Linked DNA regions of Anolis sagrei. The protein of the gene in region 2 binds, or shares a complex with, the protein of the main gene of each other region. Links are inferred from orthologs where the notes say so. Each region holds a gene or a part of one and is shown on either strand. Other genes may lie near its edges. The genes, in order: TYROBP and SYK.

Region 1 (16,764 bases), on a different chromosome or scaffold from region 2:
CTCTCCAGTAGATTGTACTTTGTGACTGCATTTTCCCCTATGAACCGGTGCGGATCCTAAGATCTGCCGGGAAGGGCCTTGTCTCACTCCCACCACTGTCACAAGCATGGTTGGGGGGGACGAGGACAAGAGAGGGGGAGCTTCTCAGTGGTGGCCCCCTGGCTCTGGAACACCCTCCTCAGGGAGATTAGGCTAGCACCCACTCTGTCTATTTTCTGCAGGGACCTCAAAACATGGACGTTCCAATGTGCATTTGACAATGGTTGGATCTCTTTCCATGAATTGACCATTAGACTAAATTCAGCACTTTATTTCCAGTCCTGGCCAGGGGCGGCTCAACCCATTACGCAAAGTAAGCATTCACAGTATAGTTGATTTTGCCCAGGGGCGCTCTTGAGGCGCTCTTGGGGGGAAATAGACCTTGACATATGCGAGTTGTAGTCACTGGGATGTATAGTTCATCTAAAATCAAAGAGCATTCTGGACTCCACCAATGATGGAATTGAACCAAATATGGCACACAGAACTCCCATGACAAACAGAAAATATATATCAATGACTGTTTGGGGCGGGGCACCAAAATACTGTTTGCTTACCATTGAAAATTACCTAGGGCCGCCTCTGGTCCTGGCCCTATAATTTACTTTTTGTACAGGCCCATGCCCAGCCCTCTCTAATTCTTGATTGGCTCTGGTTATTGAGGTTTGCTTTGATTCATTTTAATGATTTTTTAAATACTCTACTGTTTTTAATTGTTTAATTAGAATATTATAAAAAATAACAATCTTTATATGTTTTTATAACAATTTTTAAATGTATTTTTATTTGATTAACTCTGTTGTTGCTGGGCTTGGTCCCGCTTGTAAGCTTCCCTGAGTCCCTTTGGGGAGATGGTAATGGGATATAAAAATAAAGTTATTATTATTATTATTATTATTATTATTATTATTATTATTATTATCATCATCGTAGATGTCTCCCAGGTTCATAGAAAGAGATGCGGTCCCTCAGATAACCTGAACCGAAGCCATATTGGGCTTTGTAGGTCAAAACATGTTTACGAGCACTTTGAATTGTGCTCGGAAACATGTTAGCAGTCAGTGGAGATGTTGCAACAGAGGAGTTGTATGCTTCCTGTAGCCAGGCCCAGTTAGCAGTCTGGCTGCTGCTCTCTGGACCAACTGAAGTTTCTGAGCACATTTCAAAGGGGCCCCCCACATAGAGTGCATTACAGTAGTCCAACTGGTATGTAACCAAGGCATGTACCACCATGGCCATATCTGACTTCTCGAGGAATGGGCGCAGTTGGCGCACTAGCTTTAACAGGTATCAGCACTCCTAGTCACTGCTGATATTTGGGCCTCCAGGTTTAGAGCCAAATCCAGGAGTACTCCCAAACTGCAAACCTGCATTTTCAGGGAGTGTAACCCTATTTAACAAAGGCCGACTCCCTACTCCCAGATCTGCCTTACAACTGACCAGGAGTACCTCTGTCTTGTCTAGATTATGCTTCAGTTTGTTTGCTCTCATCCAGTCCGTTACAGCTGCCAGGCATCGGTAAGCACAGGACCCTCTTCCTTAGAATTAGGTGGGAAAGAGTGATAGAGTTGGGTGTCATCTGCGTATTGATGGCACTGCACTCAAAAACTCTGGATGACCTATTCCAGCAGTTTCATGTACTTGTTGAACAGCATGGGGGGCAGCACAGAGCCCTGAGGGGCCCCATAAGCCAGGGGCCAATGAGTCGAACAGAAGTCCCCCAGCACCACCTTCTGAGAACTTCCCTCCAGGAAGGAACGGAGCCACTGAAGAACAATACCAAGCCCCATCCCAGAAAGGTGACTCAGAAGGATACCATGGTTGATGCTATCAAAAGCTGCTGAAAGGTCCAGGAGAACCAACAGAGACACACTCCCCTGTTTAGTTCTCTGCATTGGTCATCCACCATAGTGACCAAAGCTGTCTCTGTTCCACAACCAAGCCTGAAAGAAATGGATCTAGGTAATCTGTTTCATCTAGGAACTCTTGGAGGTGTGAAGCCACCACTCACTCCAGAATCTTGCCTAAAATGGGAAGTTAGAGACTGGTCTGTAATTGTCCAGTACCAAGAAGTCTACCACCCTGGTCATTTCCCCATGTAATTAAAATAATAATTTAAAAGGTATTTAGTATTCCCAGTCCATTTCTGTTTTAAAAGCCTATCTGAATAAATAGGTTTTGGCCTGAAATTGGAAGTATAAGGAGGAGGTGGGGGGCATTCAGATTCCTTTGGAAAAGGAATTTCAGGTGCAAACCCCAAGGTGTCTCTTGTTTTTCCCCAATTGTGCTTGTGATTGTGGTGGGACTGAGAGAAAGGGGCTCTTAAGATCTCAGGGCTGGCTCATAAATTTCTCCATGCTTTCAAAACCAAGAGACAACAAGGTGTCTCTTGTTTTTCCCCAATTGTGCTTGTGATTGTGGTGGGACTGAGAGAAAAGGGCTCTTAAGATCTCAGGGCTGGCTCATAAATTTCTCCATGCTTTCAAAAACAGCTTCAGCTAAGGATAGTGTGTCTCATCTGAATGAATTCCTGGATGAGGGCTGGATGTGGAAAAACAAACTGAAACTGAATTCAGACAAAACAGACATGCTTGTCATCAAGGGTCCTAACCTGAGGATGGAGGTGTGTCAACCAGTTCTGGATGGGGTTACAGTCCCCTGAAAGACTGTGTTCGCAGCTTGGGAATTCCTGGATCTGTCCCTCCAAATGTCAGCCCAGGGAGATGCAATGGTCAGGAGTGCTTACTACCAGCTTCAGCTGATCCACCAGCTGCACCCCTTCCTAGATTTGGAAGATCCAAAGATGGTGGGACACGCATTGGTAACCTCAAGGTTGGACTTCTGCAATGTGCTTTACATTGGGCTACCATTGAACCAAACTCCAGCTGGTTCAAAATACAGTTGCTAGATTGGTTACGGGAACATCCAGGAGTGAACATATCACATCTATCCTAAAGTCACTCCACAGGCTGCCAATAAGTTTAGGAACCCTAGCATGCCACTCAAGATTATGATTTGATGTTTGTTGAACCCAAACATAATAACAGAATCATAGAATCATAGAGTCGGAAGATACCTCGTGGGCCATACAGTCCAACGTCCTGCCAAGAAGCAGGACAAACACATTCAAAGCACCCCCAACAGATGGCCATCCAGCCTCTGTTTAAAAGCCTCAATAGAAGGAGCCTCCACCACACTTCGGGATAGAGAGTTCCACTGCTGAACAACTCTCATAGTTAGGAAGTTCTTCCTAATGTTCAGGTGGAATCTCCTTTCTTGCAGTTTGAAGCCATTGCTCCGCATCCAGGCTCCCAGGCAGCAGAAAACAAGTTTGCTCCCTCCTCCCCATGACTTCCCCTCACATATTTATACATGGCTATCATGTCTCCTTTCAGTCTTCTCTTCTGCAGGTTAAACATGCCCAGCTTTTTAAACTTCTCCTCAAAGGGCTTGTTCTCCAGACACTTGATCATTTTAGTTGCCCTCCTCTGGACACATTCCAGCATATCAACATCTCTCTTCAATTGTGATGCCCAGAACTGAACACAGTATTCCAGGTGTGGTCTAACCAAGGCATCCCATTCTTAAGTAATCTCAAGTAAATCGTGCATTTAGAGCTTATTTGATTATGGAAAAGCCACTTTACACAATTACAACCCACACTTCAAAAGCAAAGATAGTTTTTTGTGATAGGAGTTACAAGGCCTAGATCCTGGTGGCTAGATCAGAAAAGAGGGAGTGGGTGCTGAGGATTATAGCTTGGTGTTGGGCTGACCTTGCAGATAATTTTCCCATTCTTTGCTCAGTAGCTCAAGGAAACCCTGGATTTTGAGCCTAGTTGATAATGAAAAGACTTTGACACACCATAAGATTACAACTCATAGTTGAAAAGCCAAGATGATTTTTCACAACACCTCTTCTCTGATACCAGGGTGCTTTTCCTTGCTTGTCTCATGTCTTTCTACAAAAGCAGGGATTCCCCTTCCTGCTATCTCAATTGGGAAATAGATGATCAGTTATCCTTCCCACCTATCTCAGTTTTTAATGCTGAGGTGTGAATTGTGTAGCTCTCCAAAACATGGTGAATTATATCAACCATATTATTGGGATGATGAATCTATGCTAGGTTAAACCAAACGACCACAGTAGTAACGTGAAGTGCTGAACTCTGTTTCTACTTTAGGTTAATCACTTTTGATAATGTTTTGAATAAAACAAGGACTGGATTCACCACTTTGTTGGCACAGAGGGGGTGTCATCATATTTCCAGATTTTGTCAAACTACAACTCCCACTGGCTAAGTTAATTATGGCTAGTGGAAGCTGTAGACCCACAATCTCTGATGCCTTCATGATTCCAACCACTGTCCCAAAGCCAATCTATGAAAGACAATGGAAGGAGGGAGAGGGAAAGCTGGCAAAGGAGGCCATCTACATCTGAGATGGCTTGATTTTGATCCATTCCTGCTTGTGACATCATTTCATCTAGTCCAAAAATGAGAGTTATGTTGGCCTTCAAGCGTGGTTAAGCTGACTCTCCCAGCATCCTTAGGAAGTATAGCCAACACTGATAAATGCTGTGTTATAGTCTACTAACATCTGTTGGAAGGCTGTACAATTCCCAACCATCATTTAGTGGACTGAGTCTAGCACAGTGGTTCTCAACCTGTGGGTTCCCAGATATTTTGGCCTTCAACTCCTAACATCTGGTAAACCGGCTGGGATTTCTGGGAGTTCTAAGCCAAAACCCTGGGGACCCACAGGTTGAGAACCACTGTTCTAGCGGGACTCTCAATGTTTGGAGATATGGAGCAGGGAAGAAGGAACAGGATATTAGGTCTTGTAGAAAAATGCATCTAGAACCCCGCAGTTTCATAACATGTCCATTTCACTCAAATTAGACTTTTTTAGATCCCCAGTTGAACCCGATTCATGCTACTAAGGAGTGGAGAGACAGTGACTGTGAAAGGAGACCCCTCCATGATGTCTCATCATGGTTTAGATGGCAGTTGATCATTTGGTCCACAAAGGTGTAATTCTCTGTCAGAGATGTCTAGTTCTGTGGTTTGAGTTAACGGACTAGAGCACTGGAAGAGAGGTCCTAAATACCTCACAAAATTACAAAACCTAAGATTTTGCAGGAGAGGTTGAGAGCAGAATCGTACTGGTACAACTACGCAGAGCAGATACAATTGTTGCTTGCTACAATGGGCACCAAGGAGCCTACAGGTTTTCAGAAAATGGTTTTTCCTTTCCATCATTGGCTACCCAAAGCCTATTGGGAGCAAACACAGGATCTAAAAAGAAAGATTACAGGTTGACCAAAAATCCAAAATAAGGCCAAAGGAGTAGAGGTTGACCATAAGGCCAAAATGAGGTAAAGCCATGGTAACGGAAAACTATGGTAATGGAAAAATATTCTGAATGAAGGAAAAAATTAGAAGCAGAGTCAGCAATGCTATGAAAAAGCAAATTAACCATTACAACAATGTTGTTGTTGTTGGTAATGGTTATATGTTACTAAAATATTCTGATAATGGTAACATGGTGATATTACCAAAATAGTCTGGTAATGTAACATATCATCATCTCTACGTGGGACTACCTCTGAAGACTGCCCAGAAGCTTCAATTAGTCCAACTGTCGGCAGCCAGGTTGCTCACCGGAGCAGTGTACAGGGAACATACAACCCCTCTGTAACGCCAGCTCCACTGGCTGCCGATTAGCTCCCGAGCACAATTCAAAGTGCTGGTTTTAACCTTTAAAGCCCATTACGGTTCTGCCCAACCTACCTGTCTGAACGTATCTCCTGTTACGAACCATCGCAAAGTTTAAGATCATCTGGAGAGGCCCTGCTCTTGGTCCCACCACCCTTGCAAACGCAATTGGTGGGGATGAGGGAAAGGGCCTTCTCAGCAGTGGCCCCCCATCTGTGGAACTCTCTCCTTAGAGACATCAGACTGGCCACCTCCCTCCTGTCTTTCAGAAATAAACTTAAGACTTGGCTATGGGACCAGGCATTCAACTAGTGATTAGCAGCAAATGGAAAGTCAACCTAGGCAACCCATGACAATGAATTGGCCAGACTTGGATTTGGTTTCTAACTGGCATGTTTAATCAATTGTTTTCCATTAATTGTTTTGTTTTTAATGTATTGGCTGAATGTGTTTTTTGATTGTTTTATGATGGTAATGCATCTTATGATGCTTGTTGTGAGGTCGCCCTGAGTGTCCGTCCCTCCCCGGGGGGTGAGAAGGATGGGGTAGAAGTATAGGAAATAAAATAAATAAACTACTACTTTCTACTCTTCACAGCAACAATCTGAAATATCAGAAGGTTCAACCTAAACTGTTTTTGCATAGAGCTTGCTTAATACATGGTTTTCTATTATGGCCTATGATTTATATTTCAATGACTGATGTTTAATTTTCTAATTCATGGTCCCATGATCATACTTCCTCACACTTTTGTTAACTCCTACCTTCCCACGCTACCCATTGTTCCCTAATTTTTAATTTCGAAACATTCAATTCCAATGCTTAAAAACACAAATAGGCAAATATAACTATTCAAGACAAAACACAAAGAAATAGCTATTCAATGGCCAATCTTAGATATAGGGAAGTGATGGGGGCTTAGGGAAAAATCCAAAATTGAAAAAGGAGACCAAAGATTGAGGAAGAAGTGTTTGATTCAACTCACCCAGCTGTGCCCAAACCAAGTCCAGGAGAATATAGAGGATTGGGATTCTTAGTTGGTCCATCACAAAGGCTCTCAAACCAGGTTTAGAGCCAATACTCAAAATGTCTCTGGTTAAGGAAGACCTGATGTTGTGCTTCCAAAAGTCTGGGAATCCTGGACCTGTGAGACAGGAATAGTATCCTGCTGAAGAACAAGACTGAAGAAATAGAAATAGCTCTGGGCAGGAAACCTCAAAAAGAGGAAGGGAGATGTCATGGGGTAAGATCAGATGGTGGCCAGTGTCGTACTTCCCCAGCGGAAGTGAGTCCAGATTCAGAAATAAAAGGCATAAAAGGCTCCTAATAATAGTTCGTCCATTACACCACCCTAGTAATCGATGATCATTTTGTCTGGTTTGTGTTTCCACACAAAAAAACTATTTTCTTTTAGTAAGGCAAATATGGAAGAAAGCAAAATTGACAGGCTCATTAATCTGTGAGTGTTTGACTGTTAACATCAGTGGCCGAATCTCTGCATATATAACCATATTTGTAATGCTGAATCATAGAGTTGGAAGGAACCAGAAGTACTATGAATGGGAAAAAATGTAGTTAGGTGGGAAGACAATGACTGAGGCTCTGAACCAAACAAAACATTTTCCTCTCTTTCTTTGGGGTGCTACCTGTTTCCCAGCTGAGCTAAGCCTGAGATCAGTAGTGAGTGGACTGATCAGGCTCCTTAGTGTTGATGTTTTGTCTCCATAGTACTCAAGATTTCATTCTCCCTGGGGCCACCACTGCTGCCTTCCCAGCCTCCCTTCCTGTTCATGCACTTTTGGCACAATCCTACCAATTGCTTGCTCTGAAGTCCAGCATCCAAATGCTTTGATCAGAACAAGACATCCAACCATGTGATCTCAATGGTGAGGTATTGCCCCAATCAACCTTCTCATTATTGACCTTTTGGCTAGTTTTGGCTGGGAACGGAGCAACAAATTCAAGGAGAAGGGAAAAAGTTGATTTGATTTGAATTCAGACATGACTATCAATACAATCTGAGTACAATCTATATATGTATATAAATGCTCTGTGCATAATGAGTACCTTAAAAACAAAAGAACCAATGAACGAAATCACACCAAATTTTGCAACAAAACGCCTCACAACACCAGGAGTGACCATCACTCAAAAAATATTATTTTGTCATTTGGGTGTTGTAGTTGCTGGGATTTATAGTTCACCTACAATCAAAGAGCATTCTGAACTCGATCAAGGATGGAATTGAACCAAACCTGGCACACAGAACTCCCATGACCAACAGACAACACTAGAAGGGTTTGGTGGGCATTGACCTTGAGTTTGGGAGTTGTAGTTCACTTACATCCAGAGAGTATCTGGGCCAAACTTGGCACAAGCACTCAATACGCCCAAATATGAACACAGATGGAGTTTGGGGGAAATAGACCTTGACATTTGGGAGTTGTAGTCACTGGGATTCACAGTTCACCTACAATCAAAGAGCATTCTGAACCCCACGAATGACAGAATCGGGGTAAACTTCCCATACAGTACTCCCATGTCCAACAGAAAATACTTAAGGCCATCCAATCCAACTCCCTTCATCAGGGCAAGAAAATGTAATCAAAGACATCCTGACAAAGGACCGTCCTGACAAAGGACAAAGGACCATAGATATAGATAGATATATATTATTCTCACACAGAGAGATACAGTATCATAGATTTGAATGGGACCCTTAAAGAAAGACAATTATATGTTGCATGTTCCAGAGCAGGCAAACCAGACACTTTCCACACCAACACTGACAAAGAAACAGCAAAAAATACTGTTTACCCACAAGCACAAAGAAATTACATATATTAGAAACCAACACTTTCTCATTACTTTATTTTCCAGATCAACAGACTGGGCCACAGCAACGTGTGGCAGGGGACCGCTAGTACGTTATAAGTACCAACGGGGTGAATTTAGGGCAGCTTTTAATGCAGAATACTGATTTATTTCCTGGTGTCTTTTCTTCTTTCTTCTTTCTTAGGTGATCCCTCATTGTCCGAGTATGATGGCCTTCCAATTGCAATGTCTTGGTGGTGGATAGGTAGGTAGCCTAATTCTTGACCCGCATGTTCTTCCACACTGAGGGGATCGGTTTCCTGGTAGAAGGCGGTCCTGGTCAGGGTTGGCTTGACCTGTCTTCCTCTTAGCACATTTCTCCCTTTCACCTTCCATTTGTGCCTCTTTGAATTCTGCAGCACTGCTGGTCATAGCCGACCTCGAGTTACAGCTCTTATTTATTTATTTATTTACGGCATTTCTAGCCCGCCTTTCTCAGCCCTAATGCGACTCAAGGAGGGTTACAGATGGCTAACAATCCAATGCCAAACATTTATAAAAGATACAATTAAAAACATTCAACACAGCACTATGAAAACCATATAAAACCCATTAAAAACATAAAATCACCAGAGTCGTCCTGTTAAACTCATCGTCTAGTAACATCATTGGGTCATTCCAAGTTCATTCTTCATAGTTTCATGTTCATCCATTATGCTGCATTTTCAAAAGCTTGTTCGAAGAGCCAAGTTTTTTACTTTTTTTTAAGTCAGGAGGGAGGGGGTGATCTAATATCCCTAGGGAGGGAATTCCACAGCTGAGGGCTCAAGGGCTAGGTGTATATGCCACAGTTTTTAATGTTGGCTTTAAGTCCATCTTTAAATCTCTTTTCCTGTCCCCCAACATTACATTTTCCATTTTTGAGTTGGGAGTACTGTAACTGTTTTGGAAGATGGTGATTGGGCATTTGGACAATGTGGCCAGTCCAGTGGAGTTGATGGCGTAGGAGCATCACTTCATTACTGGTGGTCTTTGCTTCTTCCAGCATGCTGACATTTGTCTGCCTGTCTTCCCGAGAGATTTACAGGATTTTTCGGAGGCAACACTGATGGAATCATTCCAGGAGTTGCGTCTGACGTCTGTAGACAGTCCATGTTTCACAGGCGTATAGCAGGGTTGGGAAGACAATAGCTCAAGGGCCAGGGCTTCCCAGTTCTTGATGTCTATGCCACAGTTTTTAAGCTTGGCTTTAAATCCATCTTTAAATCTCTTTTCTTGTCTACCAACATTGCGTTTTCCGTTTTGAGTTGGGAGTATAGTAACTGCTTTTGGAAACAGTGATTGGGAATTCAGACAACGTGCCCAGTCCAGCGGAGTTAATGATGTAGGAGTATCACTTCAGTTCTGGTGGTCTTTGCTTCTTCCAGCCTGCTGACATTTGTCTGCCTACCTCTCCAAGAGATTTACAGGATTTTTCAGAGGCAACACTGATGGAATCGTTCCAGGAGTTGCATCTGACGTCTGTAGACAGGCCATGTTTCACAGGCGTATAGCAGGGTTGGGAAGACAATAGCTTTATAAGCTTTACTAGCTGACCCCTGCCACACGTTGCTGTGGTCCAGTCTGGTGATCTGGAAAATAGTGTTGGTTTCTAATATATGTAATTTCTTTATGCTTGTGGGTAAACAGTATTTCTCATCAGTGTTGATGTAGAGATTGTCTGGTTTGCCTACTCTGGAACATGCAACATATCATTGTCCTTTTTTAGAGGTTCCTTTGAAACCTATGATACTATTTCTGGAATATATGTGTGCGTGTGTGAATCCTATCTATTTATCTATATCTATGGCTGGATGGCTCTTTCTCAGGAGGGCTTTGATTATGTTTTCTTGCTCCGATGAAGGGAGTTGTATTGGATGGCCTTAAGGCAGCATTTCTCAACCTGGGGGTCGGGACCCCTGGGGGGTGGTCACGAGAGGGTGTCAGAAGGGTCACCAAAGTCCACCAGAAAACACAGTATTTTCTGTTGGTCATGGCGGTTCTGTATGGAAGGTTTGGCCCAATTCTCTCGTTGGTCGGGTTCAGAATGCTCTTTGATTGTGGGTGAACTATAACTCCCAGTAACTACAACTCCCAAATGTCAAGGTCTAGTTCCCCCATACTCCATCATATTTCAGCATATGGAGTATTTGTGCCAAGTTTGGTCTAGATCCTTCATTGTTTGAGTCCACAGTGCCCTCTGGATGAAGGTGAACTACAACTCCAAAACTCAAGGTCAATGTCCACCAAACAATTCTAGTGGTTTCTGTTGATCATGGGAGTTCTGTGTGCCAAGTTTGGTTCAATTCCATCATCAGTGGAGTTCAGAATGCTCTTTGATTGTAGGTTAACTATAAATCCCAGCAACTACAACTCCCAAATGACAAAACCAATTTTTTTGAGTGATGGTCAGTCCTTGGGGTAGTAGGTGTCTTGTGGCCAAATTTGGTGGCAATTGGTCCAGCGGTTTTTGAGCTATGATGTCACTCACTATGCACAGAGCATATATATATAATTTATTTATTTTATTTACATCACTTATATCCCGCCCATATCAGCCCGCAGGCGACTCAGGGTGGTCTACATTTTGGCACAATTCGATGCCATCAATACAACAGCAAAAACAATTAAGTGCATTTAGACAAAAAAGACAGTGCAATAACAATTTAAAAAGAGCTATATCCTCTCAATCCAATCCTCATCCGTTTCATCGTCTTGGCCGTTCCTGGGTCATTCTCCATCTCAAGCTTGACTATTCCGGGGTTCCGAATGCCTGCTCGAAGAGCCAGGTTTTCACTCTCTTACGAAAGGTCAGGAGGGAGGGGGCTGATTTAATATCCCTAGGCAGGGAGTTCCACAGCCGAGGGGCCACCACAGAGAAGGCCCTGTCTCTCGTCCCCGCCAAGCGTGCTTGCGAAGCAGACGGGATCGAGAGCAGGGCCTCCTCAGATGATCTTAACTTCCTGGAGGGTTCGTAGGAAGAGATGCGTTCGGATAGGTAGGCTAGGCCAGAACCGTTTAGGGCTTTATAGGCTAAAGCCAGCACTTTGAATTGGGCCCGGTAGCAAACTGGCAGCCAGTGGAGCTGGCGCAGCAGAGGAGTTGTGTGCTCCCTGAGCGCCGCTCCTGTTAGCAACTTGGCTGCTGCACGCTGGACCATTTGAAGCTTCCGGGCCGTCTTCAAAGGCAACCCCACGTAGAGCGCGTTGCAGTAATCTATGCGGGATGTAACCAGAGCGTGGACTACCGTGGCAAAGTCAGACTTCCCAAGGTACGGGCGCAACTGGCGCACAAGTTTTAGTTGTGCAAATGCTCCCCTGGTCACCGCCGAAACCTGGGGTTTCAGGCTCAGCGATGAATCCAGGATCACACCCAAGCTGCGAACCTGCGTCTTCAGGGGGAGTGTAACCCCATCTAACACAGGCTGTAACCCTATGCCCTGTTTGGCCTTTTGACTGACCAGGAGTGCCTCTGTCTTGTCTGGATTCAGTTTCAATTTGTTAGCCCTCATCTAGTCCGATACAGCGGCCAAGCACCAGTTCAGGACCTGAACAGCCTCCTTAGTAGTAGGTGGGAAGGAGTGACAGAGTTGGACATCATCTGCGTACAGATAACACCGCACCCCGAAACTCCGGATGATCTCCCCCAGCGGCTTCATGTAGATGTTAAACAACATGGGGGACAGTATAGAACCCTGCGGGACCCCACAAGACAATGGTTGTGAGGTCGAGCAGTTGTCCCCCAGCAACACCTTCTGGGTACGATCCTCTAGGAAGGTCCGGAGCCACTGCAGAACAGTTCCTCCAAGGCCCATTCCCGCGAGGCGTCCCAGAAGGATACCGTGGTCGACGGTATCGAAGGCCGCTGAGAGGTCCAGCAGAACCAACAGGGACACACTCCCCCTGTCTAGCTAAAGCTTTCCTGGTGTGGATAGCCTCTAAAAAGGAGGACCATATTTGTATTTTTTAAAATATATATATTACAAATAGACTAAGGAACGGGTATTCAGGAAAGAATTAAGGAAACAAGTGATATAAAGTGGGGAGACAGAGGGAAAAGAATCTTTGCAAAACAATAAGAAATGGCTCATTGCGGAGCCTACCCATTTTTGTTTTTGCCACATGGGCAGGCTTTAACAATGAAGATGAAGCACTTTGATTACAGCACAGAAATTATCTTTGCTGTTCTTCTTTTGGCTCATTGGGCAAGAACAACATTTAGGGAATGCTAAAATTTGCTAGTCAAGAATCAACTGTACTCTGGCACCTCAAGGAACAGGGCCAGAGACACATGGATTAACAGTATTGTCAGCCAACATTTATTATAGTCAGGTCTGAAGCACTCATGCTGAGATAAAATTTACAGACAGTCATATTCTGAATGGCTGTATGACACTTTCCAGCTGGTGGTGGCAGGCAGGGGGTTGCTTTCCTCTTTCTTGCGAAACAGCAAGGGAGATTGATTAGCTGGGCAGACCAGTTTCAGAGCTGGAAGCCAGTTCTTTCAAGCAAGGAAAGGGGACTTTTGATCATGATAATAAATGAGAGCAGACAACGGGCCACCTTAATGAGGGCTGCATGGAATTACTTGTCTGCTATAATTCTGTCAGCATATTGAGATGTGTCCAAACAGGTATCATGAAGGACTTTTCTGCTGTTATAGTGAGCTTAGCTGAGCATTGTCTGACCCACTCTTGTAGACTTACTTACTACTTACTTACTTAGGAAATCCCTTGTAGCCTGAGGATGATGATCCTTCAAGTGTAGTGTCTTGGCAGAGGGTCCATAGGTGGCTGTGGAGCCCTATTCTTGATCCGCATGTTCTCCCACAGTGAGGACATCAGTTTCCAGATGGAAGGCGGTCCCAGTCAGGGTTGGCTTGATGCACCTTCCTCTTGGCACATTTTCCCCTTTTGCCCTCTATTCATGCCTCTTTGAATTCTGCAGCACTGCTGGTCATAGCTGACCTCCAATTAGAGTGCTTAAGGGCCAGGGCTTCCCATTTCTCAGCATCTATGTCACTGAGAAAATTTTTAAAGACAGCTTTAAGCCCATCTTTAAATCACTTTACCAACTTTCTGTTTCCCATTCTTGAGTTGGGAGTATAGTATCTGCTTTGAGAGACAGTGATCAGGCATTCGGACAATGTGGCCAGTTCTGCGAAGTTGATGGCACAGGAGCATCATGTCATTGCTGATGGTCTTTGCTTCTTCCAGCACATTGACACTTGTCCTTCTGTCTTCCCAAGAGATTTGCAGGATTTTTCGGAGGCAACACTGATGGAATCGTTCCAGGAGTTGAGTGTGACATCTGTAGACAGTCCACGTTTCACAGGTGTATAGCAGGGTTGGGAGGACAATAGCTTTATAAACAAGCATCTTGGTATCCCTATGGATGTCCTGATCCTCAAATATCTCTGCTTCATTTGGAAAAAGGCTGCACTCACAGAGCTCTGATCCACTCTTGTAGAACTGAGTTTGGTATTCGCATTGGAAAGCATCAGCAATGGGTGTTTGCTTACTGAGACATCTGCTAATCTAAGGACCAAACAATTTAATATTGACATTAACACTTTAATGGCCGAATTGGGCTGTGGCTGGGATGCTGTACTATTCATTTTAATGGTAATTAGTGCTGTATTTTGGAGCCCCAGTGTGCAGAGGGTTAAACCGCTGAGCTGCTGAACTTGCTGGCCAAAAGGTTGGTGGTTCAGAACCAGGGAACAGGGTGAGCTCCCGCTGCTATCTCCAGCTTCTGCTAACCTAGCAGTTCTAAAACATACAAATGTGAGTAGATCAATAGGTACCATCTTGGTGGGAAGGTAACAGCGCTGGAGCTTGACCTTGGAGGTGTCTACGGACAATACTTGCTCTTCAGCTTAGAAATGGAGAGGAGCACCACCACCCCCCGTCCCCCCCCCCCCCATAGTCAGACATAGCTAGACTTAATGTCAAGGGGGAATCTTTATCTTTACCTTACTATGTTTTATTGATTTTTAAATTGGACTTTTTCTAAAGTGTTGCTTTTATCTTAATAGATGTTGTTATTGTTTAATGTGTTGATGTAATATTACCTTTATTTTTATGTGTTACAGCATTTGTATGTTTTTTCTGTAAGCTACCCTGAGTCCTTTCTGGGTGATGGTAGCAGGATATAAATAAAGTTGCTGCTGCTGCTGCTGTTGCTTCAATTAGCACCCAAACAGCTAACCATTGAGACAAAAATGGCCACAGTTTACATCTGAAGAGTGACATTTGTCCAGATCCAGGCATTAGACAATACGAGAGCCAGCTGAAGTGAGCCAAATGCACAACCTATGCTCTATTTATTTATTTATTTATTTATTTATTTATGATATTTATAGCCCACCTTTCTCAGCTATATGGCGACTCAAGGCGGGTTACAGATTGGCACAATGTGATGTCAGGCATTCATAAAAGTGCAATTAAAACAATCAACATTACAATATAAAACACAAATAAAAACTGTTAAAGTATATAATCATCAGTGTCATCTTGTTAAAGATGTTATCCAGTAACATCGTCTGGCCATTCCATGTTCATCATTCATAGTTCCGTGTTATCTATTCCGCTGCATTCTCAAACACTTGCTCAAAGAGCCAGGTCTTTACTTTTTTTCGGAAAGTCAGGAGGGAGGGGGCTGATCTAATATCCCTGGGGAGGGAGTTCCATAGCCGGGGGGCCACCACTGAGAAAGCCCTGTCTTTCTCTGCCAAACGCACTTGCAAGATAGGTGGCATCGAGAGCAGGGCCTCCCCAGACAATCTTATTTATTTATTTATTTATTTATTTATTTACTTTATTTCTATACCCCTTTTCTCAGCCCGTAGGCGACTCAAAGCGGTTTACATAGTACAAATTATCACAAAACAGTATCATAGGCAATTAAAACACATTATACATAACAGTCAATATCAATAAACAATCATTATCATAACGCCTCAGCACCAAATCAGAACCATTCTCATAATCCTTGTTCCATGTTCCTGTGTTCAATTGCACCGTATTCCTATAATCAATTGCACTGTTTAGCCAAACGCTTGTTCGAAGAGCCAGGTCTTCACCTTCCTCCGGAACGCCAACAGTGAAGGGGCCTGTCTGATGTCTACAGGTAGGGCATTCCACAGCCGAGGGGCTACCACCGAGAAGGCTCTGTCCCTCATCCCCGCCAGGCGGTTCATAGGAAGAGATATGTTCAGACAGGTAAGCTGGGCCGGAATCGTTCTAGGCAGTACTTCGAATGATAGCACTGAAATGCTATCTAAATAGGCACAACCATTATTTGGGTAACACAGTTGAGGAGTATGGTCTCCTCAACTGTGAATGATATTATGTGTTAAGTTACGTTTGGGGGGGGGGGGGGGGCAGTACCATATAGGTATAACCAAGATTATGAGGGATTTGAGGGTATTTGGGACTGAGGATGGGGACTCCCAGGTCCAGATTCCCAGATTTTCATGAAAACCAGCTCTATTATGAATAGAATCGTAAAGTTCAAAAAGACCACAAAGACCGTCCAGTCCAACCCCATTCTCCCATGGAGGAGCACATCTCGACATATGGTCATCCAGCCTCTGTTTAAAAACCTTTAGAGAAGGATACTCCACCACATTTCAAGACAACATATTCCATGGTTGAACAGCTCTTACTATCAGAAGGTCTTCCTTGACTTTACGTGGAATATCTTTTCCTGGAGTTTGAATCCATTACTCAGTGTCCTAATCATTAAAGCAGCAGATAACAAGCTTGCTCCATCTTCAACATGACAACATTTCAAATATTTAAACATGTTATCGTATTAGCTCATAATCCGCTCATCTTAAAGTTAAACATACACCCCCAAGGTACTACTTATATCATAGGAGCACTGACTTCTAGACAGTTGACCATTTTGGTCAACCTCCTCTGGACAAGTTTCAGCTTCTCAACATCCTTCTTGAGTTGTGGAACCCAGAACTGGACACAATATTCCAGGTGAGGTCTGAGCAAAGTAGAATAGACAGTTGATTTAACTTCAGCTTGTGTTCGATTAAGATTCCTAGATCTCTTTCACATAGGCTGTTGTCAAGTCATCCATTCTATGTCTGTGCATTTCATTCTTTCTTCTCAAATATAGTGCCTTACATTTCCCCTTGAT
Region 2 (16,709 bases):
AATATTTCATATTACAGATACATGTGTATTTTTTGTTTAAATGGTAGCTGGTGGTTCCCATGTCAATGAGGGGACTAAATCCACTCTATTTTTAATCCAAAATTCAAAGAATGATGCAATATGATGAACCTTTACAGGAGCTATCCAAGGTACTGAACCCTTCTTTGTGTTTGTGTCAGAACAGACTCACTTACCTCCCCACTGCATGCTAACCACCAAATCTTACTTTCAGTGACTTGGAACTTATCAGCTAGCCAGCAGGGTAGGATCAAATGCTAAAACTATAGCTAAAAAACATATTCATGATCTATCACACAGAAGTCAGATATGATTTGTCTATAAACAAACATGTATTCTACAGATGCAAACTCTGAACAGCAATTTTTGGACATACAAATCAGTTGAATAATTACAGCATTCAGAAGTAGCACAACAACCATCTACATGAGTGCATGAAAAAAACAATGTAGGATCTCATTGTTAATGATCTGTTAGTATCAGGTGCAGAAATGCAGCTCTGTAATGTACAGGCACTCTTTGCTAAGGTTACATAAGACTTTCCCAAGATTTCTTATGTATTAAGCTAGGATATATATTACTAGGAGGAAAGGAATAAGAGCAACCTGGCTCTTCCGTCATTGCAATAGTGCTAATAGTAATAGTTCTGGAAACAGTTGGTAGTTATTTGTAGTTGTACTGTCTGTGATGACTGAGAAGGCAGATTTGCTCCTCCTGTAATTTACAGTGAAAAAGAATTGTAACCACGGTGCACATCTGTGTTCCTGCAGTGCATTCTGCCATCTGCTGGACACAGAAACCAATCCAACATAGAACTTCACCACCCTCTGCAGGAAACTAAAGCATATTCTTAAAATAGTTGTTATAGTTGTAACATTTAACTGTAGATTAGTCACCTATGAAACACAATATTTTGCTTTACTAATATTGACACAAAAATAAATTCATTGCTCAGTCAGTGTCAGACACAGGCAACATTTCAACATACTAGCTGAACAATTCTAGGAGCTGTAGCCTTAAAAGGGAATTTTATTTTATTTTATTTGTATTTCACCATTCTCCCAAGGCAGGAATGCAAGACAGTTGTAACAAAATTCAGAGGTACCAATGAAAACATTATTTATGATATTTATACTCTGCTCTTCTCATCCCGAAAGGAACTCAAGGCAGCTTACAGATTTTGGCTAAATACAATGCCACATTATACATACAAATAATAAATATAACATTTCAAATTATAAAACAGTTAAAACATATAAATGCAATAAAACGGATTAGAAACAACAGTTTCCCAATCACTCTCTCCCACAGGCCAAACTTAAGACTGCAAGTAAAAGTGGTCTTATGTGTTATTACCATGGGGTAAGGTGATATAAAGTGCAAGAGTAGAAGGCTACAGGATAGAGTACAGGTACCACAATTTTAAAACACAAGAACTTAAAGTGCATGGGTGCTGAGGTTTAGATTGTGAAGTAGAGTATTTGATATCAACACTCGATGTCTAATTTAGAAAGGAATTCACCGACCAGGCCACACTGATTAAACCCAATTAAAACTTGAGTGGACAATAGTCAAAAGAACTCTGGAATGGTCTGGCCAGCTTAGGCCCAGAAGGGCCATGTGTTGGTGGCACCAGAGGCAGCGAAGTCAGTGGAGGAGCAATGGAAAAGACCCCAGAACAGCTGAGACAGCCACATGCCAGAAGAGCTAGATATAATAAGGTGTGGCTGCTGGCCTAATGGTTCCTTCATGGGTAAGCCTAGCAAGGCAGCAACGCTGGATGGCAAATACTAAGGCCCCGGGGTCTCTACCACAGCTAAACATAATATATGGTGTGTGCCTTCAAGTTGTTGCTGACTTATGGAGACCCTAAGATGAAACTATCATGGTTTTTTCTTGGCAAGATTTGCTCAGAGAGGATTTGCCTTGACCTGCCTCTAAAGCTGATAGAGTGTGAATTGTCCAAGGTTGTTCAGTGGGTTTCTGTGACTGAGCAGGGACTTGAATCCTGATCTCAAAAGTCATAGTTCAACACACAAACTGCTACACCATGCTGGCTCTCTACATTAAAATAGACTGCTAAAATAAGGCAAAACCCAAAATCACATTATGTCAATGCATTTATTGAGTGTTTGTGTGCCTTCATAAAGATGGTGTGGGGGGGGGGGGGATTGCTGCAATAAACCAAAATTGACTCATGACTGTCAGAAACATTGCCTCCAATTGTAATATGGGCACCAATGCCTCTGTTCTGGAAAAAAGACATTGGACCAGAGCAATTTCCACTCAATGAACACTACTTTGGGCTGGTCAATTCTGGTTTATGTGCCTTCAAGTCACCTGTTGACTGAGGGCAGCCCTCGGGATGTTTTTAAGCAAAGAATACCAAAAGGTGCAACATACATTATGCAAGCTATCCAAAATATAATCAGAGATGGATGCTAAACATTATTTTAAGGGAACAAATATGTCAAATTCAGGTCACAAAGTATCTTCTTGAGATCTCAAAGCCAAGTTTATGATGGTGATGGAAGGTGGTTACATGCAAGTAAAGGTCACATCCTCCACCATAGTTGTTGGTCATCAGGCATTTGGGTTGCAAAAGAAAGGCAAAGGAACAAGTTTATTTTCTCTATTGTTGGAAACAAAGTCCATTCCTTTGAGAGCTAGCCCATGTATGTCCTGTGTAAACCTACAAGCCATTTCGTACTCAGAATATACTGAGTATACAGCTTCTCGATGTACTTTCTGTTATAGGTATTTTCTTTGTTGTTGTGTAAATGGAAATATATGAATCTCCTGAGACATAAAAGCAGGAAAAGTTTAGTACATTCTTTTTTTTTTCAACCAGGCTCATACAAAAGAGTGGGAGCTCTCATAAAAGAATGCTGCACTTGGTGCTAGGAATTGCCAGCCTGAGTTCCTTCAGTGTCCATCGTAACTTCTCAGCTTTTTTACTATTGTAAAAGGGGAGAGGGAAAATGAAAGAAGCTGTATGACATCATAAGCAATTGGACCAGTCATCATCAAGATCTCAGGACACTGTAGGCAACTTGACCAATTCAGATCTCTTAAGGCTCCTATTATACCTATTGGCTGTGGATCTTGTGAGATCTGGTAGATTATTTTAAAAGAAAGAGTATTCCATAGATCCTTTATATAAACTGTATGGGGCTGTCTGGTGCACCCTCCTCACAGCAGCAAGGAAAAGGAATAGCCACGGAACCTGATATGAACTGCAAGTATTGAACCATACAAGTCTCTTGGGATGTTGTTGATGATGGTGGTGATGATGATGTAATATATCCTGGAATTAAACCCTTCACCCATTGTCCAGGTAAAGATACAATATTGTTTCTGGTGCCTGAATTTGCCAGTGAATAGCATGGAGAATAAATGTTGTCTAGTTGGCTTTTTAAAGCAATCCCTGAGGACTACAGCAACAAATACAGCAGCCATCAGCAACATTTGCTCCATCTGGAAGAATCCACTAATAAGTTTAAAACCCATATCAAATCTGCTGACATTTGAGGGAAGGGAAAAAAAATCAATTATTGAGTTTATGTTTAATTGGCATTTAAATTTAAGTTAAATACCTGCACTGAAAGCCTCATTTGGATTAAGTGGCAAAATGCCATGCATGCTTTCAGTCCTCTTCCATCAGTTCATCCCATCCCTACTTTACCTTTGGAGAAAAAGAAACAGCTAAATGGACTTTTAGAAGCTCCATTTCTTATTTAAGCCAGTATAGAGTACTTCAATTTTGAACCAACTCTGTTTCTTCTCTTCCCACTTTTACCTTTGGTTTGCTTTAGTTGCTGCAAACTGAAGCTGAATTTACACTTTCCTATAATGTAGCTTGGAACTGCATTATATGGTCAGTGTAGACACCTAGGCAAATGCAAAGTATTATAGCTTCTGGAAAGCTGCAGGAAGCTAGAGCTTAAAAACTTGGCTTAAGAATACATTGGATAAGACTGTTGTGCAGGGAGATTCAAAGCAGTAGAAGGGAAAATAATGAAAATGGCATTGGAAAATATTTTAATATCACTTTTGACATTGCTTTCTTCCTCCATATTGCAAGGTTGTTGAGAATTATTCATATCTTTTATATTCTAAGACACAAAGCAAAAGATAATGCAAATAAATAAAGTGGGGCCTCATGCCATGACTTCTCTAAAACAAATGTAAGAGTTCTATTATTAACTGTACTTGTAAATAGTCAACTGTATCTTTTAGAATTGCGAGTACAATAGTATACAAAACTTGAAAAAACTAGCAACTGTTCACTAGTAACAGGTGTTTGTGAGAAAGATACAATAAGAAACAGTGGCCAGAGTGCCAAGAGACTTACATTTTGGCTTTAGCTGGAATGTGCATGCAATGTTTACCATATTTTTTTATTGATAGCCCCTTCTTCTCCCACACACATACCCCAACATCAATGCCTGCAACCACACAGACACTTTTATGCTCAGAGCAAGGAAGATGCAAGCCCACAGCAGGGCCATTTTTTCGCATGTGGTTACGTTAGCTGGACACTTTGCAGACTTGCAGTTTCCTTTCTCATCAGGCCCTTAAGCACTACAAGGTCTGATTACAATCAATGTAATTTTCCTTATTAACTTGGTGTTTTCTCTAGCATGTCAGTTACCTCTCTTAACTTGTTTCTATACATACATTATTGGACAGATAAGAAAATGAAAAGATTCTACATAGGCAAGCACAACTGTACCTATTGAATTTCATCTAGAATGTTGTTTTTGACGTGGAATGTCACATAAATATAGTTTATATTTCATATTCTTAACTGATAACCCATCAGTTTTAGGATGATATTATCAGACAGCCCTATGAAAGAAAGTCAGGCCAAACAGCTTTAGGATATTATACGATGTTTGTCTAACCAAATTATAAATGTGCCGTTCAAAGGAGCTTCCCCTGGGATTTAAATAGGCTGCCTTAGGGTATAGTTTCAAAGGCCTATGAATGCCCATTGAGCTTACTCCTTCTTACCTGGTTATTTACTCTATCTCATTGCCTACTTTACATTGATGTAGTCTGGTTATAAAATTATTTATGTGATTAGTTCATCTTTAAATTAGGTTTTACAATGCTAAGCTTTTTAGCTATGCACATTATTATTACTTACTTACTTTATTATTACTAAACGTTGTGAAAGCTGTTAGGACAAGGTCTTCCCCCAAAGAATTGGTAGAGCTACAATAGTCAGAATATAAAGTCTTATTATTAGTCTCCTCTGCAGGTTTATTTATTTTATTATTTATTTACTGTATTTATATCTGATCTGGCCACGGTCGTCAACACTCTGGTTACATCCCGAATAGTTTACTGCAACACACTCTACGTGAAGTTGCCTTTGAAGACTGTTCGGAAATTTCAACTAGTCCAACGGGTGGCAATCAGATTGCTCACTGGAGCACCATACAGGGAGCACATCACCCCCCTGCTATGTCAACTCCACTGGCTGCCGGTCCATTTCTGAGCACAATTTAAAATGCTGGTCTTCGCCTATAAAGCCCTATACGGCTCCGGCCCAGCTTACTTGTCCGAACATATCTCCCTCTATGTTCTGCCTCGTAGTTTAAGATCCACCGGCCTCGCAAACATGTCTGGTGGGGACAAGAGCCTTCTCTGTGGTGACCCCCTGCTTGTGGAATTTGCTCCCCAGCGAGATTATTGCAAATTTTCCATCTTCACTTATCTCACTGCACTATTGGCCAAAGGCTTGGCCCCTGAGCCATGTTTTTACTTGCTTTCTGAGGGAGGGAGGGTGCTGACCTGATTTCGCTGAGGAGGGAGTTCCATAGCCGAGGAGCCAACACAGAGAAGCCCTGTCTCTTGTCCCCACCAATTGCACCTGTGAAGGAGGTGGGACTGAGAGCAGGGCCTCCCCAGACAATCTTAATCTCAGGATGGTTCATAGAGGGAGATACGTTTGGACAGATAAGCTGGGTCAGAACATTTAGGGCTTTATAGGTTAAAGTCAACACTGTGAATTGTGCTCAGCAGCAAACTGGCAGCCAGTGGAGCTGACGTAGCAAGGGGGTTGTATGCTCCCTGTACACCACTTCAGTGAGAAATCTGGCTGCCACCCATTGGACCACTTGAAGCTTCTGAACAGTCTTTAAAAGCAACCATACATAGAGTGTATTACAGTAGCCTATTTGGGAGGTAACAATTTTTGACTTCTGCAATATCAGTTACTAGCAGTTAATCACAGTCTGAAATATTACACCACAAAAAGATGTTCTGAAGGTTTCTATTACTTAATAATAATAAGGGCGGCTTACATGGGGGCAAGCCCGAAACAAACATAGTTAAAATATAACACACTAAAATATAAAAACAACATAAAACAGAATAAAATAACATTATAGCAGCAACATTATAACAGCTATAAGAGCAATGATCAAACCAACAACCAATTAACCTACAATAATAAACAATTTTGCAGTGCTAAAATTTATTACAGCATATTATTTTAGTTATTCTATTTTATTATAGGTTATTGCTGTTATTATTGTTACCATGCCTATTTGTTAATTTAAATGTTATCATAGATATCCATATATTGGAATAAATATAGCATATATGGGGTTCAGCACTATTCACTTTTTCAGGTATCCACTAAATCTCTTGGATAAGTGGGAACTACTGTATGTGGAATTCCAAAACTTAGAGAGGGGCCAAACATTCAGAGATGTATAGCTCACAGTAGTATCATCTCAGTTTAGCTTCAGACAAAAAATTTTTTATAGAAATAAAGAAAGTGGTTCTACTGTATCTGCTTCCTATGACTATCTTCAATAGGAATCAAACAGTTGCATTCTGAATCAGGAAACACTTCCTAACCATTTTCAGCAACATGTACAGAACTTAGTAGCAGTCGGACTGAGAACTTTTTAAAAATTAAAGCGGTCTGTTATTAAAGGATAAAGTGTGGATATAATAAAGAAAATTAAATATATATTTGCAGGTAATAACCCCTTTGAGAGCCAGTGTATTGTAGTGTAGCAGTTTGAGTGACTCCAGAGATAAGGGTTGATTTCTTGTTTGGCCATAGAAATCCCCTGGGTGACTTCGGGTAGGTCACCCATTCTCAGCCCCAAAATGCCCTGTAATAGGGTCACTTTGGGTCACCACAAGTCAGGTAAGTCAGATATCTGCCTTATCTGCCTGCTCAAAAAATAAGGTCTGGGAAGGGGCCCCCCTTTTTGTCCCCCAGAAGGTCCACTTAGCAGGACCAGCTGGCAGTTCCCCTGTATATATTTAGTATACCATGGTAGTGCATTGTTTAATTTTAATTTACTGCTCATGGCTCAAAACAGCACATATATCAGCTCATCTATCTCAGAACAGTTTACATGGTGAATTATAACATTTTGAAATAATTAATGTGTCATTACATTACATTATTGAGACATATTTTCCATGAGAACTAACATTTGACTTTACGATGGCCTCTGACATCTTCAATGGCATGAGGGGCCTTAGGAGCTGGGTTCGGTCAGAGCCTGACTATCCCTGGCCCAATAGAAAAAAATCTGCCACACCGAGAGCAAATGCCAGGCAGAGCCATTATCATGGGAGGTGATGTTTAGTAAGGAACCAACACGATTTGGCAGAGAAAGCTAAAGGCTTGTAAAACTGCAACTTCCATGATTCCATGGCATTGAGCCATGATTGTTAAAATGATGTCAAACTGCATTAACAGTACAGTGAAAGAGCACTCCAAGAACCTACATAATCCTTTGCGATTTATGAGCATCCCTGTGCAAACAACTTGCCATGTTGTTTCTTTAGTGCGGAAGGTTTACAAGAGACTGAAAATCAATGCATTTGTTTTCTTTCATACTCTGAGATGGTAGGACTCAACCCAAAAAAGGGTACGTCTTCTTGACTATAATTTCAGTAGTCCCTCCATGTTTGCAGTTTTGAGTATTTTATTATTCATGAATTTGATAAAAATGTTCTCTTTTGAAACCTCTAGGTCCTCCATGGTGACTCTGTGGTCAACTTCCTTCAGTCATGCTGGAAAAGCTAGAAAAACGTAGAATGGCGCTATCCCAGGTTTAAAAAAAAATCTTTATTAGTATTTTTTCACTTTCATGGGATGCCCCTAACCCCATTGAATGTGGAGGAATGGTTCTAATCTTGTCGCATTGGAAAGACCGCAACATTTTAGATCAAGCATGGGCAAACTACTGCCCGAGGTCCATATGTGGCCCCCTGGGTGCTTACATCAGGCCCTCCTCATTTTCCCTGTCCTCTTCACATAAGGACATGGTGGTCCACTGCGTCATTCTGCCAAAAAGATGGGGAAGAAGGCACATAGCAGCTAAGAGTCCTCTGGAGTGCTCTCAGTCACTGTGTGTCTCACCCTCCTCCCGACATAAGAGCAGTGCAAGTGTTCTTATGCCAGGAGGACATCTTGAGGAAGGCACACGGTGGCTGAGAGCCTTCCAGAGTACACTCAGCCACTGCCTGTCCCACCCTCTTTCCCAGCACAATGCCAAGAGGACAGAGGATGAGGAGGAGGATCATTTCGGTCATTTGGTGTTCCATCTGTCTCCCAGACTAAGGATGGGATGAACAGCCCTGGGAGGACAACCTGAAGATGACCCAGGCACTGCCCTGCTCCCTTCTGGCCCTGCCCTTTCCCAGGCTCTTCCCATTTAGCATGTATCTGGCCCCTCCCTCCTGACCCGGTCCTCCTAGCCGGGCCCAAAATGCATCCCCAAGGCAAAAAAGTTTGCCCATGGCTGTTTTAGACAGTAGATTGTGATGGTGGATGAAATTCAAATGTCAAAAACTGTAATATTGTGTGGTCACTAGAGTATATCACCTAAGTTGCTCATGCTAAAAGGGCGAGGTTGGGTTAGGTATAGTAACGGGAAACATCTGTTTGTGGGTTGCCAATGAAATCTGTGCATTAGAGAGAGAAAAGGAAAAGAATGTTTGAAGAACCCTATAGGAAATACATTCTACACATGAATGATTTGTGTGTACAATGTTAAATTGCCGAAACCTGAATAGTATTTTAAGCTGTGGAAACAATTATTTACATTACAGACATAGCGAAATATAAAGATATGCATTTGGTTTCTCAGTCTCTCTGTGTCCCAAAGACTTTCTTCCCTGTATATCTCTCCTCCTTTTCTAGTCACTCTTACACAACATCAAAGGAAGAAACCGATCTAACCTGCTGGATGGGAGTTCTACATATTGAGAAACATGGAAATGACAGGTATGTAGATCTTACACAACCCACTCTTCATTTTCTTCCACACACCCCTTTCATAGGAGTGGCTGGGAATGCCCTGATACTCTGGGAATTCACTGTAGTTGACACAGAGATTCCAGACATATCAATATAATGTTATTCATTTCAGTTAGCGAACATCTACTAATTAACAAGGACAAAGATAAGCATTTAGTTAAGGAGGAATTAATAACTGAATCAGATTCCTTTTCCAGTTCTTTTTCTAAATAAATAAATAAAAGAAACAGCATCAACAGCACAGACAATGCCTTCCTGCAACCTTTTATAATAATATGGAAAAATAAATATTTCACCATATTTCATCTCTTATATCTGTTATCATACACCATGTATTCTTGCACGAAGATGTCACAAATGTGAAGATTGTATAGATTGTTAGGTTCTACCTTCCCCCCACAAAATAATTGCATATCTAAACAGAAAATAATAGAAAATTATCCAAAGATTATGAGAGTACAGAATTAGAGCTTACCTTTTCTAGGAAATGTGGGAATGGTGAAAAAGGCCAACCTACCACTCACTATCATTGTACATCATGTCTAGCTAACTGGACATCTGGAAAACAGTGTCCAATTCGATAAGCTGGAATGTGTCCAGAAGATCAAAATTCTGGAGAACAAGCCCTATGAGGAGTAGCTTAAAGACCTGGGTATGTTTAGCCTGCAGAAGACAAGTCTGAAAGGAGACATGATGAGGACCATGTATAAATATGTGAGGGGAAGTCATAGGGAGGAGGGGCAGGCTTGTTTTCTGTTTCCCTGGAGACTAGGATGCAGAACAATGGCTTCAAACTACAGCAGTGGTTCTTAACCTGTGGGCCATAAGGACGAAAATCTGGTCTGTGAGCCTCCTTCCTCTGTACTTATTTATTTATTTCCACTTTTTTTGCGCTGCCTGCCATTCCTTCCCTATTGCCAATCATGGCATATGTTCTGTATCAGAATCACAGAATCATAGAGATGGAAGAGACCTCATGGACCATCCAGTCCAACCCCCTGCCTAGAAGCAGGAATATTGCATTCAAAGCACCCCTGACAGATGGCCATCCAGCCTCTGTTTAAAAGCTTCCAAAGAAGGAGTCTCCACCACACACAGGAAAGGAGATTCCACCTGAACATGAGGAAGTACTTCCTAACTGTGAGAGCTGTTCAGCAGTGGAACTCTCTGCCCCAGAGTTGTGGTGGAGGATTCTTCTTTGGAGGCTTTTACACAGAGGCTGGATGTCTATTTGTTACTTACTTAGGCAATCCCTTGTTGTCCGAGTAAGATTGTCTTCCAAGATCAGTGGTGGGTACATAGATGGTGGTGGGTACATAAATGACTGTAGAGTCCTATTCTTGACCTGTATGTTCTACTGCAGTGAGGGCATTGGTTTGCAGGTTGAAGATGGTCCCGGTCGGGGTTGGCTTGATGCACCTTCCTCTTGGCACATTTCTCTCTTTCGTCCTCCATTCGTACCTTTTCAAATTCTGCAGCACTGCTGGTCACAGCTGACCTCCAGCTGGAGCACCCAAGGGCCAGGGCTTCCCAGTTCTCAGTGTCTATGCCAGAGTTTTTAAGGTTGGCTTTGAGCCCATCTTTAAATCTCTTTTCTTGTCCAACATTCCATTTTCCATTCTTGAGTTTGGAGTAGAGCAATTGCTTTGGGAGATGGTGGTCGGGAAGGTGTGGGAAAGTGCAATATGAGGGAAACAGTGTAGGTGAAACAACAGGACTGGAATATATGGTCACTCTCCAAAGGCACATCGGAAAAGCCAAGTCTTTAGATCTTTCTTAAAGGCTGCTAGAGTGGGGGCTTACCTAATCTCACCAGGTATCGAGTTTGAGTTCCATAGCCGAGTGGCCACAGCGGAGAAGGCTCTCTCCCTCGTTCCCCCAAGCCATGGCTGTGATAGAGGAAGAGGTGAGAGGAGGGCCTCCCTCGAGAATCGGAGGGAACGTGCAGGTTGTGGAAGGAGATGCGGTCACGAAGGCAGGCAGGTCCCAAACCGTTAGGGCTTTATAGGTGATAACCTGCACCTTGAATTGGGACTGGAAAATGAACGGCAGCCTATAGAGCTCCTTAAACACAGGGGTTGACCACTCCCTGTAATTCGCCCTAGTTAGTCTGGCTGCTGAATGTTAGACCAATTGAAGTTTCCGGGCTGTCTGGTCCATAGCCAGGATATCGGGTTTTTTTGGGGGGGGGGATAGGGGGGGGTTCGGGGGGCTGAGTTTCGGGGGGGGGGGCTGAGTCTGAGTGAAAGAGGGTCTACCCTAGAAAACCTTTTGTATCATTACCCCAATACCCCCATGCATATGGGATATATTGAGTATGGTGATCAGATCATGATATGAATAAACATAACAGTTTAAATAATGCACCAGTAAGGCCTTTTCGCAAACCACCATGAGAATTTGGGGGGGGGGGGCTGAAACCCCTCAAGCCCCCCCCCCCTCCCCCTGGCTACTGCCTGATTGCAGTAGTCCAGTCTAGAGGTAACTAAGGTGGGGACCACCATGGTTAGCGCCTTGGTATCTCTACGGATGCCCCGGATCTCAAACACTCTCTGCTTCATTTGGAAACATGCTGTACTTGCAGAGCTCAGGTGGTGTTGTATTTCAGTGTCTATGTTGACTTGTGTGGAGAGGTGGCTGCCAAGGTAGTGGAAATGGTCAACATTTTCTAATGTTAAACCATCAAGCTGTATTTCTGGCCTTGCAGAAGGATTGGGTGGTGACTGTCCATCTGTTGGGGGTGCTCTGAATCGATTGTGCTTTTCCTGCATAGCAGGAGATTGGACTGGATGGCCCATGTAGTATCTATGATTCTACCCTTGGGGTTGTCCCTGTGAGCCCCCAGAAAACTGAGGAAGGTGCAGACCCGAGAGGCCTTCCCTTTCTCGCCTCTCCTCCTTCCCCCTTTTGAAAGGCTCCGAAGCAGAGGAAGCCAGGCAGAGAGAGAGAGGCTCGCCTTGCCCGACGAGGAAGTGCTGCTGCCTCTCAGCTGAAACCCCAACGCGCTGAGGAAATCGCTGGAGAGAAAATGAGGAAGCGAGCGCTTCACTCATCCTGAACGGCCTTTGGGGCCGAGGCGGGGGGCAGCGAGTGTGGGGCAGGCAGCCCAGGGCCAGAAGACGGGTCTTGTCGGGCTCCTGAGCTGGATCTGGGAAGGACAGACACAGGAGAAACTTGGAGCCGTGGCTGGCGCTCTCTTCTCGCAAGGCGGACGGAGGAGGAAAAGAGAGAGAGAGAGAGAGACTCTCCCTTGGCTTCCTTGAGCTTCCCCTCTCCCTTTCCCACCAGGTAAGAAGAGCCCAAGGGGACCAATTAGGGAAACTGGGGCTGAGCGGGCAGAGGAGGGAAAAGGCTTTCCTTGACTGTGTGGTCGCCAAAGTGGGGAACTTTAGGGTCACCCCAAGGCACGCCTATACTATAAGCTCGGTTGGAAATGTCACGAAAGAGACGAAAGGACGGGGCTGCGTAGAAGGGAAGTGTTTGTTGCGTTGCCCTTGACGTGTGTCTACAGTCTGACTAGAGTTGCGCCTTCACCAGAAACCAGGCATGGGCCAACTTCGGCCCTTCAGGGGTTTGGACTACAACTCCCACAATTCCTAACAGCCGGTAGGCTGTTAGGAATTGTGGGAGTTGTAGTCCAAAACCCCTGGAGGGCCGAAGTTGGCCCATGCCTGGTGTAATGGTTTCTTGTCTGACAACGAGTGTTAGTGCCCCACCCAACTAGAAAACTTAGAATCCTAAAGCCTTGGCGGTTAAAGTGGGCTCAAGCCGCGTTAATTCGGCAATGTAGACAGAGTCAGGTGCGTTTCTATACTATGAACTGTTTCAACGCTTTGTTGTTGCTAAGGAAGAATCATAGAAGGTGTTGAAGTTAAGATGGAAGTTTGTAGTTTAGTGGGGTGTGTGGTTTAGTGAGGCTGTTAAAGTCTCCTCCCTAAACTAAAAACCTCATAATTCTGTAAGACTCTGGCACAAACCAGTAAAGGTGGTCCCAGTGGTGATTGGCACACTGGGTGCAGTGCCTACAGACCTTGACCTGCACTTAAAACAATCTGCGCTGACAAAATTATCAACCATCAGCTGATAAAGGCCATCCTACTCAGATCTGCATGTATTATTCACTCCCATGTATTATTAGAATATTAAAGTGCAATAACAGATATGGAATATGTGCAATTACTATTGGAATGGCCCTGGACTACAATTATGGATGGCATTTTTTAAAAAATATTAAATGCAATGTTTTTAAAATATTTATTATATAGTAATCTTTAATTACATGCTAATATTAATGTTTATTAGAATTATATGTTGCTCTAAGGCAGAGGTCCTCAAACTTTTTAAACAGAGGGCCAGGTCACAGTCCCTTAAACTGTTGGAGGGCCAGATTATAATTTGAAAAAAAATGAATAAATTCCTATGCACACTGGACATTCCATAGATATATAAACCCCATTTTCCTAGTTTCCAATAGACCTCACAACCTTTGAGGATGCCTGCCATAGATGCAGGCAAAACGTCAGGAGAGAATGCCACACAGAATGCCACACAGAACATGGCCACACAGCCCGAAAAACCTACAACAACCCTGCACATATCTCATTTGTAATGCAAAAAATACTTTAAAACAACACAATAATTAAAATGAAGAACAATTTTAACAAGTATAAACTTATTAGTATTTAAATGGAAAGTGTGGAGCTTCTTTTGGCTGATGAGATAGGATTGCTGTTGTTGTTGTTGTTGTGTTCTTTCAAATCGTTTCAGGCTTAGATTGACCCTTGAGCGAGGGCCGAGTAAATTACCTTGGAGGGCCGTATCCGGCTCCTGGGCCTTAGTTTGAGTACCCCTGCTCTAAGGGATTGAATAATTGACTATATGTAAGCCACCTTGAGTCCCCTTCAGGGTTATAAATAGACATAATAATAATAATAATAATAATAATAATACCACCTAACTGTCTGGGTTGATTCCCAACCTCAAAAAATGCTCCAGGCTCCCCGTTCCTCAGAGGTTTCCAAGGACATAACACTGACGCAAGGCCTGCCAAAATTGTCCAACCCTAAAGTTTCCTATGAGTCCTTTCAAGTGAAAATATTATGGGGTTTTCTTGGCAAGATTTGTTCAGAATGGCTTTTTTCTTGCCTTCCCTTTGAGGATGAGAAAGGCCCCTTCCACACAGCATTATAAAATCAACACTGAACTGGATTATATGACAGTGTGGACTCAGATAATCCAGTTCAAAGCAGACATTATGGAACATCTGCCTTGATATTCTGGGTTATATGGCTGTGCGAAAGGGCCCAGAGTGTGACTTCCCTATACAGCAGGTTTCAGTGGCTGAGTGGGAATTTGAACTCTGGTTTCCAGTGTCATACCCCAGCGCTCAAAGAGATACATACACTTTGCTTTAAATTCTAGGGAAGTTAAATTTGCCCGTAAATTAGAGTTTCACAATATAGCGAGCAAAAGATTTAACTTCCCTATAACTTAAAGCTAGTTGTTACATTGTTGTTGTTTTAAATAATGTTGATGCAGGAGGTGGGCATAAAAAGCTTTTAAAACTGTGTTAAATTGTTTAAATCATGTAAACAGGTGTCTTGCAGACTCAGTTCAGTTATGCAGAGTGTAAAGCTGTGTTTCCTAACCTGCAGGTCAAGACCCCTAGAAGGGTCGCGAGAGGATGTCAATTGAGTATTTGTGCTAAGTTTGGTCCAGATCCATTCACAGTGCTCTCTGGATTTGGGTGAACTGCAACTCCAAAACTCAAGGTCAATGCCTACAAAACCCTTCCAGTATTTTCTGTTGGTCATGGGAGTTCTGTATGCCGAGTTTGGTTCAATTCCATCTTTAGTGGAGTTCAGAATGCTCTTTGATTGTAGGTTAACTATAAATACCAGCAACTACAACTCCCAAATGACAAAATCAACCCCCCCCCCCAACCCCCACTAGTATTCAAATCTAAGTGTATTCGTTATCTGTGCCAAATTTGGTGCAGTGAATGAAAATACATCCTGCATATCAGATATTTGCATTATGATTCATAACAGTAGCCAGATTAAAGTTATGAAGTAGCAACAAAAATAATTTTATGGTTGGGGGTCACCACAAAATGAGGAACTGCATTAATGGGTCGTGGCATTAGGAAGGTTGACAAACACTGGTGTAAAGGGGTTTCAGGCTTCATTCTTTAGACAAATTGTGGTTGAAGCATCAACTATTGTTTTTAGATCTGTTTACGCTTAGTTGAACTACTTTACCACATCCAGGTATATACAGTGTTATAGTAAATGTAGTCCTGCTGATTTCCATATGGTTAATCTAAGTTATATCCATATGCTGTAATCAGATATACATTTAAATCTGAGTGCCATTATTATAATTATTATTATTATTACTATTACTAATACCAACATTGATAATACCAACATTTGTGCCAAGTTTGGTCCAGATCCATCATTGTTTCACAATGCTCTCTGGATGTAGGTGAACTACAACTCAAAACTCAAAGTCCATGCCCACCAAACCCTTCCAGTATTTTCTTTTGGTCATGGGAATTTTCCTGGAGTGATATTCTGATCTGTGAAAACACAAAAGGATAATATTAACAGGATTTGCTTTCACAGAGTGTAGCTAATGGTCTTCATTTCAAATTAGCAGTTCCTGTGTTTAGGATGCTATAACTCAATGAGTTGTTTACATTTTTAAAGTTATGTTATAGAATTAAAAAATCTTACTGCACAAATAGTACAATATATCAAGTACTGTTTTCATTAATTTTGTGTAGTTTAAAATAAAACTACAGACAGTGTTTTAACTCATAAACTTTAAAATTAAGTATACATTTTTACCATATATTACTTGTATTTTCTCAAATCTAATGTGCACCTCAGTTTTCAAAACCCTGAAACAAAAAAAAAAAGTATTTGCTGGTGAATGCAATGCACAGTGGCAAAAAGTGCACTCTATGTAATTTAGCCAAAAAAGGTGCACATTACAGTGGCTGCATGCTTGGAATTCCTACTTTTGAAATTATTTATTTCCTATATTTTCCCCCACTCTTCTCATCCTGAAGGGGATTCAAAGCAGCTTACAGTTTAGCCACTTCAGTGGCACATTGCGAATACATAGTGTATAAAATATATCACATTAAACAAATAACAAATAACATATAAATACAATAAAACTATTAAAAAACTGTTTAAACCATATTGCTAAATCCATCATCATCCTTCATGCTGCAGCATTCATATCAATACTGTATTACATTATTCCCAAATGCCTGGTCCCAAAGCCAGGTCTCAACTCTTTTTCTAAAACACAGGAATAGGGGAGTCAATCTAATGTCATTGGGGAAGGAGAAACAAACATGTTAGAATAGCAAAGC

Evidence for each region.
Region 1: the proteins of SYK (region 2) and TYROBP are in contact, whole or in part, in a crystal structure (PDB 7Q5W), measured with the Homo sapiens proteins. The link is inferred for Anolis sagrei from reciprocal best matches to the Homo sapiens genes SYK and TYROBP. Residues at the interface, in NP_001167638.1 of Homo sapiens: Arg22, Arg42, Asn46, His62, His63, Tyr64, Thr65, Ile76, Ala77, Gly78, Gly79, His92, Asp97, Gly98, Leu99, Arg175, Arg195, Arg197, Lys212, Leu214, His215, Tyr216, Arg217, Ile228, Pro229, Glu230, Gly231, Lys232, His243, Lys247; in NP_003323.1 of Homo sapiens: Pro90, Tyr91, Gln92, Glu93, Leu94, Gln95, Arg98, Ser99, Asp100, Val101, Tyr102, Ser103, Asp104, Leu105, Asn106.

Annotation. Positions count from the first base shown.
Region 1 is NC_090034.1:88,840,952-88,857,715, forward strand, and holds the start of TYROBP (TYRO protein tyrosine kinase-binding protein), read right to left. Parts: upstream 6,965-16,764; 5' UTR 6,802-6,964; coding exon 6,741-6,801; intron 1-6,740. UniProt on the Homo sapiens protein: Adapter protein which non-covalently associates with activating receptors found on the surface of a variety of immune cells to mediate signaling and cell activation following ligand binding by the receptors.
Region 2 is NC_090022.1:235,001,247-235,017,955, forward strand, and holds the start of SYK (tyrosine-protein kinase SYK), read left to right. Parts: upstream 1-9,188; 5' UTR 9,189-9,289; intron 9,290-12,211; exon of another isoform or gene 12,212-12,610; intron 12,611-16,709. UniProt on the Homo sapiens protein: Non-receptor tyrosine kinase which mediates signal transduction downstream of a variety of transmembrane receptors including classical immunoreceptors like the B-cell receptor (BCR).